Ovis aries: one gene and its partners. The protein of the gene in region 7 purifies or fractionates together with the protein of the main gene of each other region. This does not show direct contact. Links are inferred from orthologs where the notes say so. Each region holds a gene or a part of one and is shown on either strand. Other genes may lie near its edges.

The links.
Region 1: the proteins of tubulin alpha-1A chain (region 7) and DNAJB11 purify together in Homo sapiens (affinity purification with mass spectrometry; 3 studies listed by BioGRID and IntAct, counting the BioPlex papers as one, with this or other methods). This does not show direct contact. The link is inferred for Ovis aries from reciprocal best matches to the Homo sapiens genes TUBA1A and DNAJB11.
Region 2: the proteins of tubulin alpha-1A chain (region 7) and TCP11L2 purify together in Homo sapiens (affinity purification with mass spectrometry; 3 studies listed by BioGRID and IntAct, counting the BioPlex papers as one, with this or other methods). This does not show direct contact. The link is inferred for Ovis aries from reciprocal best matches to the Homo sapiens genes TUBA1A and TCP11L2.
Region 3: the proteins of tubulin alpha-1A chain (region 7) and DNAJB6 purify together in Homo sapiens (pull-down; 3 studies listed by BioGRID and IntAct, with this or other methods). This does not show direct contact. The link is inferred for Ovis aries from reciprocal best matches to the Homo sapiens genes TUBA1A and DNAJB6.
Region 4: the proteins of tubulin alpha-1A chain (region 7) and IRS4 purify together in Homo sapiens (affinity purification with mass spectrometry; 3 studies listed by BioGRID and IntAct, with this or other methods). This does not show direct contact. The link is inferred for Ovis aries from reciprocal best matches to the Homo sapiens genes TUBA1A and IRS4.
Region 5: the proteins of tubulin alpha-1A chain (region 7) and BAG2 purify together in Homo sapiens (affinity purification with mass spectrometry; 4 studies listed by BioGRID and IntAct, with this or other methods). This does not show direct contact. The link is inferred for Ovis aries from reciprocal best matches to the Homo sapiens genes TUBA1A and BAG2.
Region 6: the proteins of tubulin alpha-1A chain (region 7) and HAX1 purify together in Homo sapiens (affinity purification with mass spectrometry; 3 studies listed by BioGRID and IntAct, with this or other methods). This does not show direct contact. The link is inferred for Ovis aries from reciprocal best matches to the Homo sapiens genes TUBA1A and HAX1.

What each region holds. Positions count from the first base shown.
Region 1 is NC_056054.1:201,421,354-201,425,544, forward strand, and holds the start of DNAJB11 (dnaJ homolog subfamily B member 11), read right to left. Parts: upstream 2,801-4,191; 5' UTR 2,608-2,800; coding exon 2,540-2,607; intron 637-2,539; coding exon 480-636; intron 1-479. UniProt on the Homo sapiens protein: As a co-chaperone for HSPA5 it is required for proper folding, trafficking or degradation of proteins.
Region 2 is NC_056056.1:175,308,353-175,312,648, reverse strand, and holds the end of TCP11L2 (T-complex protein 11-like protein 2), read right to left. Parts: intron 4,098-4,296; exon of another isoform or gene 2,883-4,097; coding exon 2,638-2,882; 3' UTR 501-2,637; downstream 1-500. UniProt on the Homo sapiens protein: Promotes the migration of muscle-derived satellite cells (MDSCs) during differentiation throught interaction with FMNL2 and therefore may participate in microfilament assembly.
Region 3 is NC_056057.1:120,224,443-120,227,942, reverse strand, and holds part of DNAJB6 (dnaJ homolog subfamily B member 6), read right to left. Parts: intron 2,557-3,500; coding exon 2,425-2,556; intron 1,137-2,424; coding exon 992-1,136; intron 585-991; coding exon 514-584; coding exon of another isoform or gene 479-513; exon of another isoform or gene 1-478. UniProt on the Homo sapiens protein: Has a stimulatory effect on the ATPase activity of HSP70 in a dose-dependent and time-dependent manner and hence acts as a co-chaperone of HSP70. Plays an indispensable role in the organization of KRT8/KRT18 filaments.
Region 4 is NC_056080.1:126,436,312-126,440,285, reverse strand, and holds the start of IRS4 (insulin receptor substrate 4), read right to left. Parts: upstream 2,801-3,974; 5' UTR 2,766-2,800; coding exon 1-2,765. UniProt on the Homo sapiens protein: Acts as an interface between multiple growth factor receptors possessing tyrosine kinase activity, such as insulin receptor, IGF1R and FGFR1, and a complex network of intracellular signaling molecules containing SH2 domains.
Region 5 is NC_056073.1:3,197,015-3,201,207, reverse strand, and holds the start of BAG2 (BAG family molecular chaperone regulator 2), read left to right. Parts: upstream 1-1,393; 5' UTR 1,394-1,545; coding exon 1,546-1,658; intron 1,659-1,660; exon of another isoform or gene 1,661-2,666; intron 2,667-2,883; exon of another isoform or gene 2,884-4,193. UniProt on the Homo sapiens protein: Co-chaperone for HSP70 and HSC70 chaperone proteins. Acts as a nucleotide-exchange factor (NEF) promoting the release of ADP from the HSP70 and HSC70 proteins thereby triggering client/substrate protein release.
Region 6 is NC_056054.1:104,558,408-104,562,504, reverse strand, and holds HAX1 (HCLS1-associated protein X-1), read right to left. Parts: upstream 2,801-4,097; 5' UTR 2,733-2,800; coding exon 2,680-2,732; intron 2,159-2,679; coding exon 1,854-2,158; intron 1,716-1,853; coding exon 1,528-1,715; intron 1,101-1,527; coding exon 1,049-1,100; intron 926-1,048; coding exon 819-925; intron 690-818; coding exon 599-689; intron 451-598; coding exon 365-450; 3' UTR 186-364; downstream 1-185. UniProt on the Homo sapiens protein: Recruits the Arp2/3 complex to the cell cortex and regulates reorganization of the cortical actin cytoskeleton via its interaction with KCNC3 and the Arp2/3 complex. Slows down the rate of inactivation of KCNC3 channels. Promotes GNA13-mediated cell migration.
Region 7 is NC_056056.1:137,067,885-137,072,113, reverse strand, and holds the start of tubulin alpha-1A chain, read right to left. Parts: upstream 2,801-4,229; 5' UTR 2,703-2,800; coding exon 2,700-2,702; exon of another isoform or gene 2,191-2,699; intron 696-2,190; coding exon 473-695; intron 337-472; coding exon 188-336; intron 1-187. UniProt on the Homo sapiens protein: Tubulin is the major constituent of microtubules, a cylinder consisting of laterally associated linear protofilaments composed of alpha- and beta-tubulin heterodimers.

The DNA of each region.
Region 1 (4,191 bases), on a different chromosome or scaffold from region 7:
TGGGGTTGAATAACAGCTGCCCCCTTGAAATGAGTCAAGAAGTCTTCAGTTTGTCAGAGTCCTCTTCATTCCCTGATGATTGCTAAAATGGAGGCAGAATATCCACTCTCCTGTTTTACCTAATACCTGCCATGCATATTATCTGCCTGGTCCACGTAGGCGGGTGGATTTGCAATCCTCATTTAGATTTTGTTTCTGCTTCTGGCTCCAACTTCCAATCTACTATTAATCTACCAATTCTATCTGCTTTCATTCATCTTTTTCAACACTACTCTCCTTAATAAAACAAATGCTGATATGAAAAGGGCAGGAAGTAGTACCTTCTAAAATACATGTACAATACAGCACTGAGCACTACTTTTATCTACTGTCTATTTCTTTTAAAAAGTGACCTGAAAAACGGGAGTGTTACTCTGCGTTACATGGTCTTTTCTGTATCTGCAAGGTTTTGTTTATACTTTACCTTCTTCCTGACTCACCTCATAAGCAGCACCCAGATCCTGGAATTTCTCCTGTGCCCGTGGATCATCAGGATTCCGGTCAGGATGAAGCTGCAGGGCTAGTTTTCTGTAGGCCTTTTTAATATCCTTTATAGAGGCACTGCGAGGCACCCCCAAGATCTTATAGAAGTCTCGCCTGGGGATGCAGGAGAGGGAGAAGATACTTCATTAAAGGGTTATACATTACATTTTTAAAAGTGAAATTTTTTCCTTTACATTTAGGTTTGTGTCTGAGCAAAGAGGTAGGAAAATGAAGGTACATATGTGACACACAAAAAGAATGACTTAAAAAACCACACCAGAATTTGTAATGAGTTTCATACACTGAAGCAATCATAATGAGAGGCTATGTACTTTTTGAACAATGCTAGGATTATTCAAAGTATCTGTGGCATTCTTAGGATAACTAGTTTTAGTCAAGAAAGTCATTTTCTTATTTTATGGTCATACCGCTATAATCAAATTGAGTCTCTTTGTCATCCTCTATTATCGACTTCAAATGACTTGACTGCTTCCAAAGATCAAATAATCTCAAAGGATGATTTTCTTTATCCAAAAAAATTGTATCACATAAACATTCTAACAGTAGCACTCTTTGAATGTTAAAGATGAAGTGGCTGAAATTAACTTCAAAGGTTAACACAGAAGTTAAGTCAAAGCCCAAACAAGAGAAGCCTGAAAAGAGAATAACATTCATTTGAATGTATGAGTTGTGGAGTTTTGCGCTGAAAAAGAGAAAATATCAATTTTGCAGTCATTCAGTCAGTTCACTCACTCAGTCGTGTCCGACTCTTTGCGACTCCATGCATTGGAGGAGGAAGTGGCAACTCACTCCAGTGTTCTTGCCTGGAGAATCCTAGGGACGGGGCAGCCTGGTGGGCAGCCATCTGTGGGATGGCACAGAGTTGGACACGACTGAAGCAACTTAGCAGCAGCAGCAGCATGCTGACATCTTGTTCAACAACTTAAGGTACACATTGCTTTAAGTGCAAAAAGTGCTAACAAAAACATGTTAAAAATACAATAAAGTTTTACCTAGGAGAAGAAGATTTTTATTTTAGAAATATAAGATGTTTCACAAGGGAAAAAAAAAAGTTTAAGCATATATGCACACGGGGTGGGGGGACTTTTAAGAGAATAATAAGCACTTAAAAGTGTCAAGTTCTTCTAGGTAGTGCTTTCTTCTTTCAGAGTAACCTACAAATTTGTCAGAAGCTAAGGATTTACTATTTTCCACATTCTAAATATGAGCCTGACATATCAAATTCAGTGGATACCGGCCCTACAGGACAGTGGATCTTAAAGGCTGGAGAATCTCTAGAGTCCAGGAGGTCCTGCTTCCTTCAAACAGGTGGCACATTATCATCCTCATGTCAAAGATGGGAATTTTGGTTTTCTTTCAAAGTCACATAATTCATAAGTTGGGTGGGGCTAGAATTCCAGTCTACTGGCTATTCGTGAAATGTTTCTCCCCTCTGCTTGTAATACTACTCAGCTCCCTAAGAATACTTCCTGGAGAGACAATGAGGCATGACAGCTTAGGCTCAGTATCTCACGAAGCTGAAAGGTACAAGGGCTCTTCAAAGGGTCTGCCTTGCTCCTTCATTCCAATTTCTTTCAGTCCCGGCATGGCTACCCTACCTATTCTCCCCACTTCCTCACTTTGCCTGGTATCACAACCCACCCACTTTAATGCCAGCCCAACGGCTCGTCGTAGACTTAACACTGTATCGTCCCCTTCTCCAAACTCAGCAGCCCCTCATCCCACGTTGCGTTTGTCACTGCATCCAACCCTCGCTTCTCTGGGCAAATCTAGCTCTAGGGCTTCCGAGTCTAAGTCCCTATCTCCCGGGTCACCCACTGTCGTCCTCTCCATCCCACTAGCCTGGCCCACACTACCCACTCCTCCTCTCCACCGCCTCACCACAGCAACGCCCCCTACCACTCCCCCCGTCGGACAATGTCCCCTTCTCTCCCCAGCCTGCTTCCTAGCCAAGACTGACTTAATGGCCCCGTGCCCGCAGATTCCAATTCCTCACCCGGCGATCACGGTCCCGATGAGGTACAGCAGCAACAGGCAGAAGGTGCCCAGGTTCTGCGGGGCCATAGTCCCTCTGTGCCGGCCCCGGTCCCCCGCACTCCTCACAGCCCCCGCCGCCGCGTCGGCTCGTCAGCCCACCGGGCCCTGAGAAGCCGTCTTACGCCCGGGTCTCCGACTTAGTTAGCAGCGACAGCTAGCTTGCCCCCTCCTCTACCAGTCCACTTCCCGGGAGTCCCGAGTCCCGGCGAGAGAAGCCCCTAGCGGGCCAGAGCCAATCGCTGCTCCGGACATCACACGCGGCCGGCGCCTCACAGCCAATCAGTGCAGTACACTTCACCTCCGAGGCGGCGCGGGCGGCCAGTTAGGCTTCGGGACTGCAGCCGCAGCTCCCGGCCAATTAGAAGGGGAAACGTCAGAGAATCGCGCCGCCGCAGGAATCCGTCCGGCCCAGGCACCTGCCAGTCGGAGAAAATTACGTAAAGATTGGTGATGTAGGATGCGTCCTAGAGCCGGCGTCCACGGTACGAGAAGTTTCCCTCCGCCCGCCTCCTTGGACTCTCTACCAATCACAAGGCTCTTCCTCCAGCACTGGCCAATTGCAGGAGGGAAGTTTTATATTGGTTACAAGTCTAGGAATTTCATTCATATAGAGCTAGGCGCTGGACGCCCGGGAGGAGGTACGCGAGCGAGATGGGCGGGGACAATGACTGAAAGTCAACGGTACAACGGACGCGACGCTTAGGTCATGATTTGCCTTCTCCTAACAAAACTCACGCGAAACGGTCTTCGTTTCGCAAAGAAGAGGCCTGATGTCCGTGGAAGCAGACAGACTTAGGTTCGAATTCAGCTTCCACCACTTCTAGCGGTGAGAACATGCGCCTTGTCCCAAGTCTAAGCCTAAGCTTCTTTTCTACAAAACTGAGGCACAGCATTTACTGATAGTATTGTGAAATTTTAATCTGTAAGCCGTCTAGCGCAGCGTCTGGCACATAGTAACCACGCAAAGAATAATAAATATTACACTTAAAAGAACAACAACACAAAAAAAAACAACCAGAAACGACCCTCTGACCCCTTCCACCCACCCCTTTGCTCATTTCAGTAAATCACCACCTAGTTGTTCACTGCAAAGCTTCAGGTATCTTCCTTGATTTCTCTCCTGTGTCCCCTATCCGAATCTTTACCTTTAAACCATTTCTTGAATCTGTCCACTATTATATATCTCCACCACCTCTTGGCCAAGTCACATCATCTCCCACCAGGCAAGGGCTTCCTAACTGGTCTCCCTGCCTCCACTCCTAATATCTTAGGATCTCTTTCTCACCCCGATCCTTTTCCCTGCCATGATTTTTTACACACGTGTCAGATCATATAATTTCTCTGCTTAAAAGCCTTGAATGACTTTCCGTTGCACTTAACAATAAGATCCCCAGCCTGTATACTAGCTATTAGATAATATAATAATGTTTACTTGTTTAGCCACTAAGTCGTGTCCAACCCTTTGTCACCCCATGCACTGTAGCCTGCCAGGCTCCTCTGTCCATGGGATTCTCCAGGCAAGAATACTAGAGTGGGTCGCTATTTCCTTCTCCAGGGGATCTTCCTGACCCGGGGATCAAACCATGTCTCCTGCATTGGCAGGCGGATTCT
Region 2 (4,296 bases), about 38 Mb from region 7:
GATTTTGGAGCCCCCCAAAATAAAGTCTGTCACCGTTTCCATTGTTTCCCCATCTATTTTCCATGAAGTGATGGGACCGGATGCCATGATCCTAGTTTTTTTAATATTGTGTTTTAAGCCAACTTTTTCACTCTCTTGTTTAATTTTCATCAAGCGGTTCTTTAGTTCTTCACTTTCTGTACTATGTGTACTTGTTTTAAAAGCATAGCCCGAATTACACTTTATTGCTATTGTTCACAATTTTGTCCTTCTTACTAAGTTACAAACTTCTCAGGACAGTGTCTATCTAGTCATCTGTGTATTAAATACCTAGAATACTTCTTGACACATAGTAGATGCTCAATAGCTATTTGTTCACTAAATGAATGAATGAACACGATTGATGTCTGTGAGGCTTTGACATTAAGTAGAAGATTCCTTCTAGAACCACTGTAATAAAGAGTGTGCAATATTCCAGCCCCAAGCTACCCAAAGGTGGTTTAGAAAACAGAGACACCATCTATCTTGAAATAACTTTTAATGTTTTACAATGTAACTAGTGTGCACAATACATGTTTTAGCAGAAGAATGAAAATGTGTGTATGGTGTTTAGGAAAATTGACATTACAAAACAAGACCATGTTAAGAAAATTCTCAAAAGTAGAAGTAAACATTTAAGTAAAAACCAAATAAACAACATGCTAAGGGACAGGATTTTAAAATCCTAATAAATGTACTTGCTTAAATCCAGATGGGACATTGAGATTTACTTTGCCACTTTAAAAAAAAAAAGCAGAATGCCCTTCATTTTAAAATGCATCCAAAAAAAAAAAAATGTTTGCACACTGTTTTCCTGCTGGCAACTATGGTATAATCAAGTATATAAGAATACCAGCCAGATTCCAATCTGATAGTAAAAAAGTATACCACCTGGTCTTCTAGTTATATATACAGTTCACCGGGAAAGTGACAAAAAATCACACTACACGCTACCTTTCAGACCCTCTGTGCTGTCCAGGCCCCAAAGTGAACAGTTGAAAACAATTTCAACTTAAGAGAAAATGCAAATAAAAATCTACAGCACCTTATGATTTCTAAGCACAGGAAACAGGCAGAATGGACATACAGGAGGAGGGAAAAAATGGGTAAGACCAATGATGTGCTCTTCAGTAAATTCCACTTCTACATAGCTGCTCAAATGGACAAAATGGTGATTTATGTATTGGTCATTGGGAGAAAAAAGCTGATGTTCAACATTTCCTCAATTTGGCAGATCCCTCCAAAATGTAAGGATCAGAGATAAGTTATCCACACAACAATTTCCCAGGTCTTCATCAAATCACTAGGTAGCACCATAATGGTAGAGGTCATGGTGAGGAAGAGGAGGTAAAGAAGAAAGAAGGATTAATCTTTTTCTTCCTACTTGCTCTTCTCCACCAGACCGCTAAAGTTCAAGGAGTCCTCAGAAAATCAAACCATCAAAAATGCATTTTATGCAAATAAAGCATTATCCAGCAGTGTTTCCCTCAACACTTCAGAAGCATGTAATTCAAAGACAAGCAGATTTCTCTAGGATCCTGACAAGCAGTGCCAGCGTGGCAAAGTTTAATGCACAAGAATGGCAAATGATAATGGTACTGAGAAGAGCTTCTTGGTCACGGTGGGGTAAGAATTAAATCCACAGAGAAGGCATTTGCTAGCACATTATATGCTTAAAGAAGAAAAATAATCCAAAGTACATCTGTTTCTTTTTCAGATGTGAATTTCACTGAGAATGGGGGGTCCCATTTTATCAACTTTTTCTTACAAGTAAATTCAAGTTACCAATTCAAACCACTCTTGCCTTATGTAAAAATATTAAAATCTTATATAAACCTTAGCAATGGCCTGAGAAATGCAAGGACATTCACAAAGAGATGTGTGCAAAAAGTGTTTCTCTCAGAGAGCAGCATAAGTTGCAAGAAGAATCCACCCTCTAGAATGAGATTTTAGAAGGGGTTTGTTTCTATTTCCATTAAATCATCACGGGAGGTTTTATCTAAAATTTGTACATAGCATAAAAATGTATTTAATACATTTAAATTCTAAACAAATACTGACCATCGGTATCACCAAATGTGATTAGGTATATTTGTAGAATTTGAGGACTATGTAAGTTTCTATTACATATGAGTAAAATTTAATTTGTACATTTCAAATACAATTATCCTTACTTCACATCATTTGTTTAGAACATCAGTCCACTTGGTTATGATCACAACTTTCAACCCTTTAAGAAGCTGTACCAAAGTTTAAAAAAAAAAATCATTAGATCTGATAGTAACAGGTGAGGAAATACAACTCCTTAAGGGTTGAATGAATAAGCCAGATATAAATGCTTAAGAAAACATTTACAAGTATTATATAGGTAATAAAATTAAATACAAATAGCTTTCTGTTCGTTAAAAAGTCTCTTTAGGACTCGAAAATGGTGCACATGTGGGGGCATTGTGATGTGCATGTCTCTGCAATGCTGATGTTACTGGGTTACACAACTTCGGGCTAACACTGTGCTTCACACAGGATCGAGAATGTGCCCCATCTGTAATGCCGCTGGTGGAAACAGACTGGGTACCTAAGTGCTGGGCTTCCAATCTCTTTTCCAGTGTCATTTCCTCTTTAGTTAGTAGATGAAGAAGCTTCTGCCTTCCCTGTGGCTTCCTCACCAAACAGCAGCTTTCGGAGTATATTTGCATAAAATGGTCCATACACTTGTTTGTTGAGATTCACGATGTTTGCGTATTGCGAGCCTAGCGACTCCAGCTCTTGCTGAACGACAGCAAGGCCTCCTGGCACGGGAGGCATGCATCTTGGAGGGCTTGGCAGACAAAGCAGGCTCTTCATGTATAGCTGGATTCGTTTATCTGGGGGAAAAGAAAATAGGTTTATCTGTCCTATTATTAAAGCATGTACTTTTTAAACATGAGAATAGTAATTGTGGTAGATGGATTGCAACAACATCCTCAATTCTTTACCCCCTCCCTATACTCATGCCCTTTCCAAGGTAGCCTGGCAGTTCTTCCCATCAGGGCTGGAGCCCAGGTGCCCAGGTCTTGGATCAGGGATGGCCTTCTGACCTGCTTTGGCCCATGCAGAATGTGGCCGGAGTGATGGTGTGTGAGTTCCATGCTCAAGAGGCATGGTTTGAATCTGCCCTTTCTGCCTGCCACCACTATGTAAACAAGCCTGAGCCAGATGAGAGCCCATGTTGAGGGAAGCCCAGCTGTTCCATCTTAGGCCATCCTAGACCAACCAGTAGCCAACCAAATCCCAAACACGTGAGACAGCCCAGGCAAGACCAACAGAGCTAACTACCCATGAGGCTGCTTACCATAAATGCATGCATTGAGTCCAGCAAGACCAAATGAACTGCCTAGTTGCCCCACAGACTGGTGAGCAATGATAGATGGAGTCTTAGGGAAATCTGTTACACAGTAATAGCTAACTAATAAAACATACACAGCACTTTCAGGGTAGAGTGGGGAATCTTTTATAAAAATTCAAATGTCCATAATTTTAGTTATATATCCTAAAGCTGAGTATATAAACTAGGATTGCTAGTTTAGCCCAGACAGTGTTTTTCTAAAAAACAGAAGCTATTTAAAATGAGGGGCGTTCACATAGAAAATCAAATTTTTGGTTCTTCTTGAAAAATCTACAGATCTGGCAAACTTGGGAGCCCAAACTGCCACAAGGCAAAGGGGAACATACATCTAGGTTTTTTCAGGATAATTGAAGTTGACACCTGCTGTCCTGGTCTTAATAAAAAGAACACTTTCAACAGTGTCCCGGGTTAGAAAATAAATTGTATGACCATCCCCCATGTGGGCAAGAATCTGGAGGCACTGAGGAAGGACCACCCCAACTAGCACTGCCACCTTCTCCACTCTTCCTGCTTCGGTGCATCTGCATTTGCGAAGACTTCACAAATGCATGCAAATGCTTAAAAAAGGGAAGCTGTGGTGTCCTGGACAAATGGCACTGGACAAGCCAGACCTGCTCCAGCCCAGGCTGCTCCAAGGACATTCTCTGGCTCTGGAAACAGAAATCTCACAAATAAAAACATTTATTAAGGAAAATGAGTGAGTGAGTGAAGTTGCTCAGTCGTGCCTGACTCTCTGCGACCCCACGGACTGCAATCCACCAGGCTCCTCCATCCATGGGATTTTCCAGGCAAGTATACTGGAGTGGGCTGCCATTTAAATACACTCATCTAATACAGACAGCTGTAATATTACTGAAATTCTTATATCCAAACACATCTACCCCAAATCATAC
Region 3 (3,500 bases), on a different chromosome or scaffold from region 7:
GAAAACATCCTCAATGCACATTAAACCAGAAATGCATCACCATCAACGTATTAACATCGTCACTGCTAAATACTGAAAACACTGAGATTATCTTGTGGAAGAGTCATCCTGGCAATGTTAACTTCACAGCAGGCTGAGACTACTCGGCTCACGTTTCAAACACAATGGAAAAGCAGTCCGTGCTGGTGTTAGTGTACGAAAGAGTCACGGCCACCTTGGATTACGTTTAATAAAAAGCAAAGTGCATACAGAGATTTACAACAATTTTAAAGACAAATAAAATGGTCCTATTACGTGGTCCCAACAGTAAACTCAAAAGTCTATGACAAACAGGGCTCCGACGAGCTGCGTATAAATACTTTAGATTAGGTACAGTTATACTGAAAGTCGAGTTCGTTTGAAATCTTCAAAAAAATGTTCCTGTTAATCCTCGCATGGCGCGTGCCAGAGTTAGGGTTCTGCTACGCGCGTGCGTCAGCTACTTGTTATCCAAGCGCAGCAGCTGCTCCTTACCATTTATCGTCAAGGACTTCAACTGGCCGTCTTCTTCAACTTCCACCCTTTCTTGACCATTCTCGACAATCCTGCGGGAGGGGAGGCAAGGGGGATAGCACACGCCTTAAGATCGTCATCTGAGGTGAGCAGGCCTGCCTGTGGACCTGAGCGCGCACCTTCAGAGGACCCGCCGCGGGCGCCCCTGAAGCCAGCGACTCTGTGGCGGAAGCCAGCGTCCTGAGCGCGGGCGCCTCTGGCTGAGCACAGGCAGCAGCTGCCGAAGCGGCCAAGGCGCTACAACGGAGGCACTGCCATCCCAACGCACCCCTGCACGCTGGACGGAGCAACATCCAATGTGCCACAGGAAGCAGACATCTCAAAGGACAAGCTCTGATCGGAGGGGGCCCAGATGGCCCAGACACCCTGCCCTTCCCGGGGGTGGCACCGGTGATGCCCCCCACACCTATGCCTGAGAACACAGACGCCAGGCCCGCACCTCTTGGTGGTGATCTTCCTGCCGTTCACCACTTTCGTCGACGTCGATACGGACTTGTAGTTGCCCATCCCACTGCCGCCGAAGGCCGAGGAGGAGGAGAACGCCGTAAGGCTCCCGTGGCCTAGTGAGCCGAAGGAACCGAACCCTGTAAGAGACAGCAGAGGGGTCAGAGATGAGCGCAGCACGCGCAGCCAGCCCAGGGAAGCAGACGCAAGCCCCTGTGGAGCCGCCCGGCCACCTCCCCTACCGACGGGCCAGCACCCTGCCCCCACACATCTCACAGGATGGAGCAAACCCCACCACAGACTGGCACACCCAACAAGCTTCTGCTGGCTCCCTGTAACTGTGACCACAGGGGATACAAATCTCAATTGCCAGGAAGCTGAAATAATTTTAGCAAGAATGCCACAATTATCAGGAGAAGTATGGGTCTGGAGTTCCTGGACTAACTCTCAGCTATGAGGTGTTCACCTAGGACATGAACCCTGACTCTCAGAAGTCACAACAAAGCAAGTCCACTCTGGGCTGGGGCTGAGGCTGCTCTGCCTGTTGGAGCCCGCTGCCTGTCCCATCCTGAATGCCCCCTTACAGCAGAAACATGCCCTCCCCACGGCTCCTTAAAGGGGAGGACGGCATGCCACACACACTCCTTAAGTGAAATGCTCTGACAGGCTTGCCCAGCTTTCTTCTCTGACTCTCCCTTAACTCCCGGCACACCACGTGGCATCTGAGGAGAGGGCCTGCCGGAGGGAGGCACAGCTGCACTGGCCCTGGGCGGCACAGACCCCTGGCTTCGGAGGAGCAGAGTCTGGGAGCCGCGTCCCCTGTGCTGCCCACAGAGCGTGGGACAGTCACACAAGGGAGGCCCAGAACAGACAGAGGAGCTGGGCGAGCACCAGAGAAGAGCTGAGACTCCAACTCTCCACGCGAAATGCGGCTGCGCCAGGCTGTGTGCCTGACTCCAGCGGATGGATGGCCTCCAGTGCCACGCGCCAAACCGCACCAGTAGACTCGGCATGGCGCACGCAGGCCCCACTACAGCCTTAGCTCCTGACCCCATCGACTAGGACTCCCCAGGACATTTTTTTTCCTTAAACTGCTGAGGAGGTTAGATTAAAAAGGATTTAATGAGATTATCTGAGTTATTCCAGTTATTTATCCCAAAACCTCATTCCTTTTAACCAAGAATTTCATTAAATACTGGCCTTTAACAGTGAAGATCTGAAGTAGGTTCTCAAGTATAACATCTCTTTGGAACATTAGGGCGGGGGTGGGCGGGAATGTGGGTTACTAAGCAAAGGTCTGTATATACACAAACAGTGGCAAACCCAAGCTGCTCCACAAAAGGCATGTGCACACTACAGAGTGCCCTGAGTGACAGAAGCCTGCGCGGGCGCCCACTCAGACACCAGGGGAGTCTGAGGGTGTGGTACCTGCATCAAAGGAAGGAAACCCCCCTCCAAAGGGGGGAAATCCGCTGAAAGCAGAGAAGAACGAGCCCGTGCCTCGGCTCCGGCTTCCACGGGGGCCCCTTCGATTCCCAAAGAAGTCCTCAAACGGGTCTTCTAAAAAGAAACAGAAGTGCTTAGTGAAGCCTTGACCCCAGGGTGCTTCTCCACAGGAGAGCTGCGAAGGGAATGCGGGCGGTGCCTCCTGACACAGTTCCAGCAGGAGCAGAGCTTCTCCCCAGCGCAGCTCGCCTTCAGAGCGATCCCCCTAACCTGCGGCTTTACCGCGGTTGCCGAGACTCATCTGAAACCAGGACACAACGTGCCCCAACATAAAGCTCAGGGTCATCAACACGCACCGCAGACTGAGCAGAGAGCTGGGGGCAAAGCTGTCCACACGGAGCTCTTTCTGGTGGCTGTCACCAATCAATGAGCACTTACTGAAAACATGAATTAGACAAACTTTTAAAACTCACTGAGGTTCCCTATTAAGTTCACTATGAAATCAATCGGTGCTGTATTTTTTCTAGGAAATGGGAATTCTCTGAGAAATAAAAGCAAGGACTCCTGACAGATGGTTCAGAGAAACGAACCCATGACACAGAAGCAAGAGAACCGGCACGGCCTATTTCTAAGCCAGGCAGGCGTGGCCAAAGCAGGAGGTCCACGCGTCTGGGTGGCGAAAGGAACAGGAGAACAGTGAGCAGAACACGGTCATGAGCATGCAGGCGAGCGGGGACTGCGGCTCACAGCACACCCCGCGCACAGGCGACCATGACTGGGAACCCCCCAGGTAGCCGGCAGTGACCAGAGGCAGACCTGAGCTGAAGGAACGCTCAGAGCGGGGATGGGGAAGCAGGCGGGGAAACTACAAGCCTTTCTTAAGAGAGCCGTCAACAGTGCAGGAAAGCAGGCCTGAAGAAGCAGGCATTAGAAAGCATGGTCCCTGGCGGCTTCTTCAGAGACCTAGAAAGAAGGCAGGAGAGGGAGGAGGACCAAACAGGAACCGGCCCAAGGCAGACGCTGCTTCACAGCTCCACGGGGAGCCGGGACCTGGGCAG
Region 4 (3,974 bases), on a different chromosome or scaffold from region 7:
TCTCTCTGCTCCTGTGTGGGCTTTTGTGGTTTTGGCTTGACTTTGTTTCCTTTTGTCATAAAAGGAAGTCGATTAGGTCTCTTAGCCTTGTGCTTGGGGGGCCCATCACCTGAACGCTTGGAAGGTGATCCCCCATCTCTAGGCTTTGAGAAAGACCCTTCAACTGAAGGCTTTGAAGCTGTATCTTTGGGGCCTCTGTTAGATAAGACTTCCTTCTCTAGGCCCTTTCCTAGGAATTTTCCAGGTAACATTGGTACATACTCACTATGGTCACTCTGTCCCAATGGGGAGCTCCGAAAAGGATTTGGCAGAGAGAAGTAGGAGCTCCAACTTTTGGAGGAAGAGCCTCCCTGAGGATTTCTGGGGTTTTTAGGAATGGCACCAGCTCCAGGGGCCATGAACATATAGTCACTGTCACTGTCATTGTCCTTTGAGTCATCCTCTTTAGCAGGATCAGGTGCTTTTGGAGGACTTGGCACAGGTGGTGGGCTCACTCTGGGAAACATCATCATGTACCCTCTAGAATCTTCGAAAGGTGATCGAGAGTGGCGCTTTTTGGACACAGAGACATTTTGAGGAGCCATGGGCATGTAGTCACTGGAGCTTGCGAGAGGAGCAGCCACGCCTGGCCTCATTGGCACATACGGATCATCCTCGTCTTCATCAAAAGCTCTGGCTCTGTGGGGACCCCGAGCTGCACCTTCTGGGGGCTCCGTGTCTTTCACTTCTTTGGCTTCTTTGCGTTCTTTTGTGGCCCCTCTGTCTGCACAAAAATAAAGTCGGAACCTTCCCCCAGACTTCCCTTTCCCACCAGTTGCTGCACCTGGTGGGGGTGGAAGGGGCGGAGGTGGTGGCATTTGCTGTTGCTTGCCTTGAGTTAATTTGCCAAAGTAGGATCTTTTCTTCAGAGATTTCCCACGATCACCATTGCCTTCGGGCCCCTTCCCACTTCCTGAGCCTTTGCCACCTCCGGAGTTCTTGCCACCGCCTGAGCCATGGCCATCTCCGGGTCCCTGGCCACGGCCTGAGCCATGCCCACCTCCAGCTCCCTGGCCACTGCTTGAGCCATGCCCAGCGGTGCCCTGGCCGTCCCCGGAGCACTGGTTTCCTCCTGCACTCTGGTCCCCGGAGCCGCTGCCACTTGAGCCATGGCTGCTACTTGAGCCCTGACCACCTCCAGAGCCATGCCCCCTGCCTGAGCACTGACTTCCCCCGGAGCTTTGGCCACTGGAGCCTTGCCCACTTGAACCCTGTCCACTTCCTGAGCCCCGGCCATTTCCCGAGCCCCAGTTGTTCATGGGCATATAGTCACCTTCGTTTTCTTTCTGATCCTCTTTGCCCTGAGGACCACCTTCTTCACCTGAGTTGCCAGAGCCAGAGCCAGAGGCTTCAGAAGACACGGGATCTCGGTCGTGGAGGGCTTCTGCAGGGTACAGGATGCGCACAGGGCTGGGTGCGGTGTGGCGGAAAAAGCTGGCTGGCACTGAAGTCGCTCTCCTGGGTCTGCGCCCTCTGGGCAGGTGTAGTCTTCCTCGTCTGGAGCGGGGCACAGGCTCACTGGGTGTTATGTAGCGCCTGGCGAAGAGCATCTCGTCTTCCCCATCACCGATGGCCCAAAGGTGGCAAAACTGCTCAAAGCGGGACCTTCGGAGCCAGCCGCCGGGCTCGAGCGGCAGCATGTCCAGGTGCCTCCTAGTGGACAGCAGGGTTAACAGGTGGCCGCCGATGCTGATGCTGTAGCTGCGGCAGCGGGCTCTGTATTCGTCTGCACACAAGGCTCTCATCTTCTCCAAAAACAGCTCGTGCATGTTTTGGGCCACCACACAGTCATCCACTTGCATCCAGAGCTCCCCCGGACCGATGACGGTGGACCTACCGACTTCCAAGAAGAAATACTGCTCCGAGTGCCCACAGCGACGGATGCTCAGGAGCTGGACGACCACGCTGGCCACTTCTGTATTTAACCTCACGAACAGAACTTCCTCGTCGGTAAGACAGAGCCGGAACACGCCGCTCAGCTCTTTTCGGTGCCCCAGCCCCCTGGGTTTGACTATTACTTGCCACACATCTTTGTAGAAGGGTGGCTCCACCGCCGCTGCAGCCGCTAGCGCGGCCGGCTCTCCCTCCGGCTGCGCGCCGAGCGTGCCGCAGCGGCGGCGCTTGCTCTCGAGGATGAGGCGGCTGAGCAGCAAGTACCAGCTCTCTTGCTCCGACTCATTCTCGGCCACCATCGCGAAATACTCGTTTTGGGTGAAAAGAGCGATGAGGTGTGGGTACCTTGCGTCGGCCCGCTGGCTCACCGAGAAGCACTGGTACAGGGTGATCACGCGCCGCGGTGCAATGAGCGCGGGGACCGTGGCGCCGGAGGCGGCCGCCGCCGCTGCAGCCGCCGCGGTGCGGACACTGTGCCGGAACTTCCTGGCATTTTCGTAGTATTCCAGCCGAGCTGGGGCGTCGGCGGTCTCGAGTTTGAGCACGAAGTAGCGCCAGCGCCCATGCTTCTGCTTCCGCAGGTAGCCGCGTTTGCAGACTTCGTCCCCGACGGGAAGGTCCTCCTCGTCGGACTCCGAGTCTGACCGGGAGCCAGTGGCCGTGGAGAGCCACATGGCTCCCGGACAAGACGACCCGGTCCCAATGGGTGCGGTGGGGGTTCCCGAGGAAAGAAATGGGGTGGTCGCCGCCGCAGCTAGAGCCGCTGCTGTTGCCGCTGCTGCAGCTCGCAGTCTCCTTGTCGCTTGGTCGCGAGCGAAGGAGCAGCTAGCCATGGTGATGCACGAGGGTTTTAAGGTGAGCGAAAGGGAGGGGGGGCTCGGGGACGGGAGAGTTGGGGGAAGAGGCCGTCTACCCCCTCCGCCCGCCCCGCCCCCCCTCCGCCTAGGCCCGCGCCCCCGCCCACTCCACTCCAAGCGCGCGGCGGCGGGCAAAACAACACGTGACCGCTGCCTCACGCGGCGGCCGCTGCGGCTCCTGCTACAAGCTCAGCAGAGGGGCGCGAGCCGCCGCCGGCAGAGGTGTGCGAGGGAGGGGGTGGCCGGCCCGAGAGGTGGGGCGGCCTCCAACCCCTCCTAGACCCTCTGGGAGAATCTCCCGGCCTGTGGGTCTCGGGAGGACCCACGGGAGGAGGCGGGGCCCCTGGCCACGCTGGTCCTAACGGGGACTCCAAGGAGGCACGGACTGGGGTTTGGGGGAGTATCGGGAGAAGTTCGAGAGTGGCGGAGGAGAGAGCAGCCGGAGACGGCGGCGGGGCCGGGGCACCACGGCCGGGCTCGATTGGCTGGAGGGGGCGAGAGGTGGTGGGAGGGGGCGGAGCACAACGGTCTCGGGCGGCGCCCGGGAGGAGAGCTGGCAGGGTCCCGGGACGGCTTGTTTGTTTATTTGGGAAGTAGCAGCCAGGTGAAACTGTTGCAAGATTCTTATTGGATGGGGTGGGAGCCAATGGGAGGGCCTAGCAGGCGGACCGCCTCGAATTAATTAGTTTGGGGGACAGGAGGGGTGCTGAGGGGCAAGGGGGCGTGGCTTGGGGGTGCGGAGTGGGCTCCGCTGTATGGTTGTCGCGCGTTCGGCGGTAAACAACCCTCTGCAAATAGCTGTTAATAGTACTGATAAATTCGTGCAAATCCCTCAGCCACGCTGACCCGGGGACCCTGTCGGGCGCCCTCTCTTCTTCCCGTCCCTCACATAAATTCTCTCTTTCTGTCACAGTCTGGTCCACTAGTTCCCACCGCGCCCGGCGAGCCGAGACTCTCGGGAGAAAGTGTGGGCAACCCCTGGAAACGTGTTAACGACCGGGGCCCGCAGACCTGCCGCCCACCGCGCTGCAGGCACTCGGGAGCCTGCTCCAGTCCTGATAAAAGCCCGCGAGTGTGGGGCACACAAATAACAGCGAGGGTTTCAAAATGAGCCTGCTCTTTCATCAGGGTGCGTTTTTAGTCCACGAAACGTAGGTTGGCTAAAGAGGGTGGTTCCAGCTGTTT
Region 5 (4,193 bases), on a different chromosome or scaffold from region 7:
TGAGTACTTAACATTTGTCAGCGACTATTCTAAGCACTTGAAATACATCAGTGAGCAAAAGGAAGCCCTCACCTCCGCAGTGGGGCACACTTGGGGGGGGTTGCTGAGATGAGGAAGGAAAACAGCCGCCCGAAAGAGCTGAGGAGCGGTGGGGGTGAGGCGGGGGCGGGGCTTGCTCTTCGTACTAGAGTGGTCGGGGTCCTTAGAGAACTTGAGCAAAGGCCTGAAGGTAGGGAGTGAGCTTATCCAGACATGCACAGCAAGGCTAGTGCAGGCAGCAGGCGACGAGAGTCCTCTGAGGCCTCTTCTGAAGGCCTTGGCTTTTACTCATTTCACAAGTGAGCCGCTGAAGGTTTCTGAGGAGTCATTTGCTGTGCCTTATTCTGGATCACTGCAGCTGCTGAGCTGAGCACAGACAGTGGTGCAAACAGCACCAGACCAGATGGGAGGGCAAGGCTGGGATGCTGGCCCAGTGGGGAGTGAAGACGGGCCTGGGTATTCTCTGGAGTTGGAGTCCACTGAGTCTGAGGTGTGAGAGAGTCTAGCACATTCACAAAACGTCTAGGATTCCACGTTTGTCATGATACAATAAAACGTCTAATGAGGCCAGATGACCCCCTACAGCAGTTGTGAATTAGTATTTAAGAGTTCAGAGGAACTGGGATCTAGCCTTAGGGGCCTCATCTCTGTTCAAGTACCTCGACTTTGATCTCAGATTAAAGGTTGGGCTCCAGCCTTGAACTGTTATTATCCCCTTCCCGGTGCCCTGTGCATCCCCTCCGTGTACTGCTGGGCAGAACGCCTAGTGTGCTCTGGCCCCGCCACCCCTCTACTACTCCCTGACCTGCACGGTGGCCGAGCGGCCTCCATGGTCTTCTCATAACAGGAGGTTTATACAAATGGGGTTAGAAACGGCCTTAAATAACAATCATTTCACTCGAATTCCAACCAATAACTTAAACAGAGAAGTCATTACAAATGCTTTCATGCGAGTGGGTGTGAAAACGATGAGGTTCACCTTGACCCCTACACGCAGCTGGACAGGGCGGCTTTTTGTCTTCTGCTCTGTTGGCGTCCAGACTCCAGTTCTCACCTCGGGAAGGTGCCCGGGAACCACGGCTACGCAAAGGACCCCTTCCTCGCGGCGGATGGCCCCGGAGCGGGGAGAGGGCGGGGCTGGTGCGAGCCCGCCCCGGGGCGTGATCGGGGGCGGGGCGCCGCGGGCCAGCCTGGGTGAGGGCGTGGCTCACGCGAGCCCCGCCCCGGCTATGCTTGGGGGCGGGGCCTCCGTGGGGCGGGGCGAGGGCGTGGTTGGCGCGGGCCTCGCCCCGGGGCGTGCTCGGGGCGGGGCCGGGCCTGGCGCCACGCGGAGCCGCCCCGCCGCGCCGCCCCCGAGGCAGCTCGCGCGGTCGGAGTCCGGCCGCCAAGCCCTCGCGCCCTTATCTGGGTGCCCTGGCCCCCGACTTCGGGTTTGCGGGCAGCGCATCCGAGTAGACGGTTGGCGCGTGGGGACGGCGGTGACCTCGGGCCGCCCGCCCGGCGCAGATGGCTCAGGCGAGGATCAGCGCCAAGGCCAACGAGGGCCGCTTCTGTCGCTCCTCGTCCATGGCCGATCGCTCCAGCCGCCTGCTCGAGAGCCTGGACCAGCTGGAGCTCAGGTGCGCGGGGCGGGGGCCGCGCGGGGACGGAGCTGCGGGCGAGGACCGGGGGGCGAGGGCGGAGCGGAGGGCAGCGCGGCGCTGGGTCGGCGCGGCGGCCCCCCACCCTTCGGCGGCCCCGAGCGCCGGGACCGCGCGACCCCGAACAGAGGAGGTAGGGGGGACGTGACTCGAGACGACGGCCGTGCCGCCGCGGAGCTTCCAGAACCTTCCGCGGGGGGCCAGGTGTTTCCGGCCCACTCCCCGCCGCGAGCGGTTTTAGGACCGGGGCCGGTTAGTGGTTTCTGTGCTGAGCGACCGAGCCCTTTGCAAAACGGAAAAATCCGTCTGGCCTCAGGCCCGAGAGCAGCGGACAGGTGTCTCCCCAAGCCGCGCTCGGCCTCACCGGGGCGCCGTCCCACCTTCCCGGCCGCCAGGGCCCGAGCCGCAGCGCTCCCTCCCGGTCGGGGTGTCCCTGCGGTCGGCGTGTCCCCTCCCGGTCGGGGTGTCCACGGCGGTCAGCGCGCAGAGGGAAGCCCTGGCGGCGAGGGTCGGGCTGAGGTCAGCGAGGATGTGACTTTGGAGCAGGGCCCGGGGTCAGGCGCGCAGAGGTTACCACCGGTCAGGAGGAGCTGCTGTCTCCCTTAAAGCTTTTAGTGCTTTTCTGAATTTGAGAAGATTTAGGAATCTGAGTTCCTGAAAACCGGAGAGCCTGTTTTGCCAGTTTTCCCAGAGCACAGAGTGCCTCACCCCGGCTCTTTCCCTGAATTCTTTCCAGGCTGTGCTGCTGTCAGTTTCTATAGAAACCGGTGTGGGGACCCTGCTTAGTGACAAATGTAGTCACCGGCTTGTATAGGATTCCTAAATAATGTGTAAGAAATTTGGGAAATAATCTTTTCTCTAACAGTGAATGAAGACTTCTGTGTACTTCCCATAACTTCTTATTGTCATTGAAGGTCCGGTAAATTGTGTGCAGGTGTAATTACAGGCAGATCTTACCAAGGCGTCCAAAACTCCCTAAAACCACAGGTAATTTTTCCCATAGTTACCAGACTCTGAGTGAGCAAAGGAATACATGTAAGACACAATTTTAAGAAGGGCTGCATATGTGTCTTTATCTCAAAACAGGACAAGGGGTCTGTTTGCCAGTAAAGTACATTAATAACCAAATGAGGCACTTATTATCATTTATTAATATTTATGTTGACTTTCATCATTTATTGTATAGTTCTTTTTATTATTACAGAAAGAAACAATGTCTTCTCAGAAAATGAGACGCTCACCACCACGATTTCACGGAGAGTGACAATGGTCCTTCTCCAGCTGAAGCAGGTGGAACAGGCAGAGCAGTTCCTGTGGACGATTTTATGTAGCAGCGTTAACAAGTGACTGAGCGTCTCTGGTCTCAAGAACTTTGAGGGCATGTTCTCAGCCATTTCAGGGGGGCTCTTCCCTAGTTGGAAAGAAAGGATGTTTTCTTCTCAGCTCGGGCAGGACACAGTTCCTTTCTTGAAGCTGAGTTATTGTTCTAAGACTTGAATTGATGCCTCACATAGGGCAGGTGCTCATCTTTAAAAGGAAGTTTCTTGTTTGAAATATTACGTTCTAGGGCTTCCTTAATGTGAAATGAATTCTGATTACCGTGTACAAGTGGTTAATCACTTGCTGAATTAACCCTTGAGCTGAGACTGATAAATGTGTGTTCAGTTGTTCATTTTAAGGACTTTTCTAGTTTTAGACTGATGAGCTTTGTTTCTTTCTTTTAAAAAAAAGTGATGCTGACAAAATTAAGTCTTTTGGAAGGTTAAGTAAAAAATAGAGAAGTTTATGAAGGCAGATGGGTCATGGAAGAGAGCACTGAGCTGTTAGAAACTAGAATCAGGCCCAGAAGATCAAGTTTAAAAAGAAAACAAGACATTCATGTGTTAACTGTCATTTACTTTCATGTTACGAGTGGCTAATAAAGCAGTGTTGCAGGCACACTGAAAATCACAGACTGTACCAGGAGGTCTGTGTTTACTGTCCCTCTGTTGTGCTAGTCTCAGCAAAAACTTTCTCCGCATGAAATCGAAAATAGAATTATGCTCAGTGCTTCATGACCTGCCATGTGAACTGGTGTCCATGGTGTTTAAAGTTTTTCAAATGTTTGACCGCATCTCACAAATCGCTGAAGAAACTCCAGTTGTTTCTAATGCGTTAGCACGAAACTAGATCTCCTTTTTTGCTTCCTCCTAAAAAGGTGATGTCTCTCTCTACGGGTTTTCGTGACCGTGCAAATGGCCTCTGACTTTTCCATTTGTCAGTGGCTCTGAGCACTTTGCTCACGATTGTTACTAGTTTAGCAGTGATCATATAATTCATAAATGATACCCTCCAACAGGTATCTTAGCTAACCAGCATGACTACAGGTCCTGTGTCTTTGTGGAAATTATGTCACCCTCATTGTCCAGGCGGGAAATTGAGGCTTGAGAAGTTAAAAGAGCTCAGGAGTGGCTGCAGAGCTTAATGCTTTACGCCTGAGTTTTCTGAGTTACTATGTCATATTTCAAAGTGTAG
Region 6 (4,097 bases), on a different chromosome or scaffold from region 7:
CCTGGAACTATCACTAGTTATTTATTAACAAGGAAAATCATTTCCTAAAGGTACCTGGTCCTTACTTATCAGAATCAGTTTTGCAAGTAAAGCAAAGAGCTAATCTTTTGTGGGCCAAGTTAATTTGGGAAGCCCTGGATACTGTGAGAAAGTGGAATAGCCACGACAAAACCAAGACCAAAGAATTAGCATAAATAAAGGTTTTATTGGTCAGTTTGGGTGACTGACACACTGACAGACCTTCAATTCACTGTTCCACACACCCAAGGTCCTGAGGTGGCAGGAAGACAACTAAGCCCATTAATACCAAGCAAAGGGTGGGAAGTGGAAAGAATCTAAAGGTCTCTGTGATTAATTAACAAGGCTACCGGGACCGGAACCAACGTCCTAGGAACAAATCCAGGATGGAAGAGGAATCATCCAAGGATGGAGGTGTTGGTGATTCTGGACCTAAGGGAAAGAGTGATACACACAGGCTAAATGAAGGAGACTGGAAAGAGGCAAAGGAGGGCAGCAATGTTTAATGGTAGGAGAGCAACAGTTTCCCTTTCCCATGGAACTAAGAGATGGATCCCTTTGATTTATACTCTTCACTTACCATCTCTAGGACTGCCGCCTGCCTCTTGATGGGTTACTGTGGTCTCTTTCCGGCCCTCGCTGTCCACCACAGTCCGGCGCTCCTCTATAGTCTACAAGAAGAAGTCCCCCCACCATATCCCTAACATCACTAAAGGTGGGTTCACTTGTTTCTTTACATAGTCCCCCTTTCCAGAACATTCTCTGGTCACAGCTGCCTTTACCCATCTCTCCCAACTCACCCCATCTGGCTTAGTGATCTTGGTCACAGAGACACTCTTGAAATAGGTTTTGGGTTGGGGCTGCAGAACTGGGCCAAGACCCTCCTGAGAAACCTGGGAATCAAGATCTAGAAGGGCACAGAAAGGAAACAAGAAAGAGTCCAAAGCGAAGAAGGGGACAAATGTGGCAGACAGAAATTTCAGGGAGGGACACCAAAGGGCTGGTAAATGTCCTCTCCCTCCAGACTTACCATTGTCTTCTCTGGCTCTAGAGTGGGGGGTCACAGGCCACGTATCATCGAACTGTAGAAGAAGCCAAAGTAGGTCAAATGACACCTTTCAATCTGAAGTTTGAGGGGCCCCAGAACCCAGCCTATTTCCAAGTTCCAAAACTACTTTTTTTTTTTTTTTTCAGGAGAAATGATCCCAGCAGGATGGCTTTCTTTACTCACTCCCCCTCCTTCCTACCTGATTCATGTATTTCTCTACCAAAAAAGCATTCCTGAACTGACACTTTTCTGTCCTCCTTCAAACATTTCTGCTTTCTCCAAGCATCGTCTACAGTAATTTTTAACAAAAAGCAGAACTCCCATTTCCTCCCAAAGAAAATCCTACACAAAGCTTAATATAGAAAACAGACAAATACAACCCAAGTCTGTTAGATTCCAGCAAGGTTTCCAGTCTTTGCAGTCTTCTCCACAGCTCCCACTTCAGGCCCAGATGTACTCACCCTATGAAAAGGTCTCTGGGGGCCCCAGTCTGGTGCTGGTTTGGGGGATTCAGATCTTGCATCACTCTCCAAGCCCCCACCAAAGATCTTGGGCTGGTGACTATCTGGATACTTAAGCATTGAGTCCCGAAGCGTCTGTCCTTCCTGCCGTCTCTCACCAGGTGTCTCTGACTCAGGACCTGGAAGTTCTGCAGAAAGGTGGCAGGTGGATGCTGGGAGTAGGAAAGGACTTGGGCTCTTTTAAATCTCCTTGAAATCATCAGCTTTCTCACACTTCCCAACACCCCCAACTACTCTCTGCAAGTCTTTTTTTTTCACCCACCGACCCAGTAGAAACCACAGGTTCTTCCCCAGGAGCATCCACACACCAGGAGGGCGGGAAGGCAAGGTCCAGGCCCCCATCTCGCTGAAGATGTTGTTGAAATCCCGTACTAGGTCATCAAAGCCGAAGTTATCGTGGAAACGCATTCCTCCTCCCGGGCTGAAGCTGAAGCCAAAGCTAAATTCCTCAGGGGGCTGGGGACCCTCAAACCTCGAGTTCCCACGGCCCCACGTGACTCCTTCTTCTTCCTCTTCCTCATCATCTTCGTCTTCATCGCGAGTCATTCCTCCAAAAAAGGGATCTCTGTGGCTAGGGGTGGAGGCAGATTAGCCACCAAAATTTCAGCACTTAAACCATAGCATCAGCTAAGACTCGACGAGTAGGACAAGAGTTGGGATCTGAGGGCCTGGAGTGAGGGTAGAGGACTGGCCATCGGGTTTGTTTTGCTTCATCAACGTCAGTCCTCACCTGGTGCCCCACCCCACCCCGCCCCGCCCCCAGCGCTTCCCTGCGGCTTTTCTTAAGTGTTTCCCAGCCCCTGCCCTCCCCCAAGGTCTTGCTCACTTGTCCTCGACTCCAGAGCCCATTGTCTTCCCCACCCGGTCCCCTGTTACATCACCCTAAACTGGAGAAAAGCTTAAGCGGCTGTTTCTTCTCTTAGCGACCGCCCTGGTTACTGTCGGGGGGTGAGTGTTCAGTGTTGACCTTTTTTTCCCCGCAGGAGTTTTAGGAGGGTAGAAAAGGATGTTTTTCCAAAAATAGGGTGTCCAGGGTCAAGCTCCCCTCCGAGTACTCCCGCCCCTCCGTGTCTGGCCGGAATCCGCTCTCACCTCCGAGGTCCAGAAAAGCCGAAAAAGCCCCGAAAGAGGTCAAAAAGGCTCATTCCCGTAGTGGGACTCGAACCTTTGAAGCCCACAGCGGGTAGCAGCCAGAGCTACGCTGTCGGAAATTGAGCGAAGCGTCAGACCACGCTGCCGGAAAGCAAGCATGCGATCGCACACTGTCGTAAAACAACCGTAAGCCGGACGTCGCTGAGGGGCGGGGCGGGCGATCCTATCAAATTCTAAAGGCTTTCACTTTTGCCCCCACCTGCTTCCTGTGAAGGGAGCGGGCGTACTGAGTTTTTATTTCCCAACGAACACTTGCCCTCTAAGCCAATTCTTTAGGCCGACCAACCCACTCCAGTAGGGTTTCGAGGGTTTGACGCTTGATGGCACTGGAGACAGCCGCCAGAGGGCACTCCACCCACAGAAATTAACCGGACCCAGACCCTTCCTCATTGCAGACTCACCACACCCACGGACCAGTGTTCTGCCTTAAACCCACCCGCTCCCTTCTTTCATCGTTTGTTTCTCGCCTGACTTAAGTCTAGTATTAGAGGAATGGACAAAATGTATCAAGCTCCTTCTACTTTAATAATGACATCCCCAGAGTAAAAGACACAGGAATGCATGGATTTAACTTCATCTCTCCAGCTATTAAGTAGTTTGCCAACGTAGGCTCTGCAACCATCAGAATAAACTTTGTGAGAGCGCAAGGGAAATCTAGTCAAGTTTTGGGAAGGAAGAATTTGGAGGTGTAAGTGTCCCCTTTTGCCTATCAGTGACTTTCAAAGCCTCTCCCCCTCTCTGTGCCCTCACCTCCTTCCCAAACCTGGCCTTGCTCCAGCCTCCTCCTCTTCAAGGGTGTGGATATTAGCTATGTGAAATGAAAACACTCAAACAGCAAGATCTACTGCTTCAGTTTTGCTAGCCAACAGTGCATATTTCGCACTCATTTCTTTCCAGTTCATTTGCACGGACCCATCTAAATTAAACTTTGATTCTATCAATACAAAGCGATTTCTTTCAGTTCTTGGTTAATCCTCTCCCTTTCCACCCAGTATCAGCTATCCCACTCCCTTCACTGCCTACAATCTGCTACAGATGACGGAAATGAACATTTGCAATGATTCTTTACAGGCACCACTGTGAAATTTTTGAGGGAGGGCGAGGGAATCCCCTCAAGGGCAGCACATTAAGGTCAGAGGAGTTCTTAAAGGGCGAAGATTTCGTTTTTATTCCACCGCCTTCGGGGCCTGCTAGAGAAGGCCCAGTTGGTACAGTAATATTTATTCACCAAGCTGGTCATCGACGAGACTGAGGACATCCTAGACGGAGCAAGAATGGGCAGAGGCTGAAGGTAGAGGTTTTCTTTTTATATATACAAGACACATTAATCCATTAAATTTGAGGACACAGTACAAAAA
Region 7 (4,229 bases):
GAATGAGATTGCATTTTGACAGAAACTTTTAAAATGTAGACCTTCCTTAAATTACTCAGCATTTCTTTATTAAAAATATCTTCATGAATATTTATCAAATGACATCAAATAGGCCATATTTTAATTGAACTTTATAAATATCTCTCTTAGGTTCATTAATTTACTTTATTCTTGAGAATACACATACCAGTTTCCGAATTCGGTCCAAGACGAGGTCAATGATCTCCTTGCCAATGGTGTAGTGACCTCGAGCATAGTTGTTGGCAGCATCTTCTTTGCCTGTGATGAGCTGTTCAGGGTGGAAGAGCTGGCGGTAGGTGCCAGTGCGAACCTCATCTGGAAGAGGAAAACGAAGCAGCCACCCATCAATGACCCATACAAGCTCCACCCCAGGGTATCAGTGGAGCCCACAGGACACACCTCCTGTCACAGACCCTCAGGATTCTCATTGAAGCTACTGAGGTCAACTCACCAATGACTGTGGGTTCCAGGTCTACAAACACTGCCCTGGGCACATGCTTGCCAGCGCCTGTCTCACTGAAGAAGGTATTGAAGGAGTCGTCTCCTCCCCCAATCGTCTTGTCACTTGGCATCTGGCCATCGGGCTGAATGCCGTGTTCCAGGCAGTAGAGCTCCCAGCAGGCATTGCCGATCTGGACACCAGCCTGGCCAACGTGGATGGAGATGCACTCACGCTGTGGGAAGGAAAAGAGAAAAATTGTAAAATTAGTTATATTAGCATTTTCAATTTTCAATAAATTTCCAAAATGATTTCTAGTAATATACAAGTATTCTTTGAATTTATTTGAGGTCATATTCCTAACATAATAGAAACAGTTAAAGAAAAGCACTTGCTACAAATGCTGCAGATGGGTGTGGTCTGGATAAGGCTGCACTGTTAAGCACATGGTGCAAGCCGATTGTTCCAACAGCCATACTTGAATAGAAGATTTTTCATATTTAAAAAATAGTCAAGCACAAAATTTTTGTAAAATGAAGTAATTTCAATCACTAGTTAATTGCAATCATTATTACTGCCTCCTTCACCTTTAAAGATGAACATTTTTTTGATAGGACTTGGTATTTCAATATGGACATCTGTACTGCAGCTGAGGCTAGAAGCCACACCCTTCTGCAGTCTGTCTGCAGAATCCATCAGTATTAGGGGGTAGAAGCTAAACAAGGACTGTCTCCTGCACTGCTGCATTTGCTGTGCCTGGTGCCAGCCTGTACTGTCTGCTACATTATTTAACAGAGCAAGCTCTATTTCCAGCAACTGCCTACATGATCTCATTGTGCTATCTGCCAGTTTTCCTCTTCTGACCCAGCCTGGGACCATATGCCTAAACTGAAATGAATTCATGAAGATGCACTAGAACAAAAGACAGCTACACAAAGTATAAGTCTTCTTTGTCTGCAGCATTTTCATTATTTAAAAAAGTTTTCCCAGAATCTTCTCCTCTGCAAAAAACTGAAAAAGTATTAGTATCTTTAAAACAACAGTTCCTAAACTAGAAATAAATAGAACATGAAAAGCTACCAAGCTTAAAGCCCAGTGAAATAATTAAATATTTATATAAAACAACAAAATAATGTTTTCATTCTGAAATTTCGTACCCACCACAGAATACTCATGCTCATTACATTCAGTAGAGTGTCCCCTCCGTAGCCTTTACGGTTACAACTTCCTTTGTCTGTCCATTGTCTAGTCACTGACAAACGGGGGCTGGGGGCGGGGAAGGGCGTTTCCCTGGGTCCTCTGCATTAGAGCACCCTGGCTCACAAAATCGGCTTTTTCTCTCGCTGAACATGCGATCAAGACAGACACACAGGAGTCAGCCAGGGCGGGGCGGCCCCAGACCAGACGTTAAAGGGCTTGTCATGTGAACTGTGACTTTGCTCCTCAAAAAAAAAAAAAATCTAAGTTTTGACAGTGAATGAAAAACCTTTTAACGCCTACGGTTCTGTAAAGATGAAAGGCTTGTTAAAAGTCTTTCTGACAGAGGAGGCTTAGTGAGGACGAACCCCTCCCAGCGGCTCCAAGGCGAGAGAAGCAGAAACAAACAACTCCGCCCCTGCGCCGCCTCGACGCCGGCCGCCACAGAAACTAACCATTTTGCCTGTTAATACATGGGTGTCTTTCTAAAACACCAACGAACTGGCGAGGGATCCTTTTTTTTTAATACTAACCTCAGGCTCCGCTTTGTCCCTTTCCTTCTCTCCCCGAGTCTTCTTCCCAGCTACACCCACCGACCCCCGTCTTTTCGGTCGACGAATCCTCTCCCTGTCCCTGGGGAACAACGCGAGGAAGGGCTTCTCCGAGTCACACGACTATCGTGCGCACACGGGGGCCGAGCAGGCGACGCCAAGACCGCCCTGCCTGCCCCAGCCCCTTTCTTGACCGACAGATGGGCTGCTGCACGCGGCTGCCAGGGACTTGGGTAACAAAACCTCCCTAGGCGCCGCCTTTGTTCCCCCTCACTGCTCAGCCGCGCCCTGGACTCAGTCGTGGTGGGGCTCCTGCACCCCGCACTGCGGCGGGGAGTCCGGCCGCAGACAAAGCCAAAACTCGCAAATAAAATGTAAAGCTACTCTTACCCATCGAGTTGTAAAGGACAAAGGTTTTAAGATTTTCCAAGGAGACCCTGGGGAGGCTGACCCCACCCAGCGTCACAAAGAGCCGGAGGAGACACTCTTACCATAGTTGCTGTTTTGCGGCTGCCGAGCAGATGGCGGAGAGGAGAAGAGGTTGTTACTTCTTACAGCGCGACTCTTAGGCGGTCGATGTAAGAGAACCTGCGGCACATGGGCGTCTGAGGCTCCCTATATACAACTCGGTCACCATGGGGATGGGCTGGGGCCTTTTCCTGTTGGTCCAGACCCCTCAATCTGCCCAGAGGAGCCGCGACAGAAGAGTGGTGATTGGTGCATGCGACATGGGATGAGGTAATCTCTCCCCCACCCCTTTTCCCCTAGCATCCATAGACTGCTTGCATCCTTCAGACAAAGAGACCGAGCAAAAACAGTCAGCCGAGCATCCATTACGGGGTGGGGTTGGGAAGGGGTGGGGGGAGGGAGGGAAAGAGAACTGGAGTTGGGTGACTTTATATTGTTTAAACCTCAAACTGCTGTTAAAATCATCAATGTAAAGGTTTTCCTCCCAGCATTTAATCGCAGAATTTGAGATGAAATATTTTAATAGAAAATTACTTTCAGCTTCTCCCTCAGAGTGTGCTAAACCCACATTTGGTGAAGATTCAGTATCTCTAGTGCTTTAAAAATAAAGTAGAAGAGAAGATGGGAATGATGCTTAAAATGGCTTGGGTAAATGTGTTTTGTTTTGTTTTGTTTTTTTAATTAAAAAATTATTCAATAACCATCCAAAATGGTTTCTCAGGTTCAAGTAATTTTTTTTCAGACCTTCTTTTGCCACCCTCTCCCTAAAAGCTAAACAAAAACACTAGATGAAAAGAACAATCAATCTATGGAAGCACACAAGTAGTTCTAACATGAAGATAATTCAGATCTAATGAACACACCATACTTACTCTACTGGAAATATTCCAGAAGTCTATGTTAATATATTTTATGTCGTGTATTGTTGCTTAAAATGATCATCTTTTCTAATATAGAATTGAGAAAATACAAGGAGAGAGAATTGAGTTTAGACGCTAGTACTACCTGTGCATGCAGTTATATTCTGCATTGTTCTCTCTTCTGGAAAGAGAAAATTACTGGGATACCACATTAGAAAGGAAGAGAGTTGTATAGTGTGAAAAAGAAGACTATTTTGTAATATTGTCTCCTTCCGTAGACAACTGTGTAGATGTCACCTCAATAACTGCATTTTTTTTTAATGTAAATCTTATGTGAATTCAGTAAATTCTCCTCCTCTAAGATTGGGCTTCAAACTGTGGGAATTGTAGCCAGCCTCATACAGCTGCTATTCAGTCAGAGACACTGGTGGTTGCTCAACTGCCTCTTGGGACAAAAGGCTTTGCTTAAGGAAGTGGAGTGCAGTAACATTCTTTTGCTACTCAGAAAGCTTCCATTATCAACAAGGATGTACAGTGCAGAATATGCCTCTGGACTGGGTACCATTTGACGTTGCTAATGAAATTTCAGAGGTAAAGAGGTTTGCTGTGGCCCCTGAAGTTGAAAATATGCATTTTGGCAGATAATTTTTCCTTTTGGCTTTTAGCAAGAGATTTTCAGGGTCGGCAGCACCA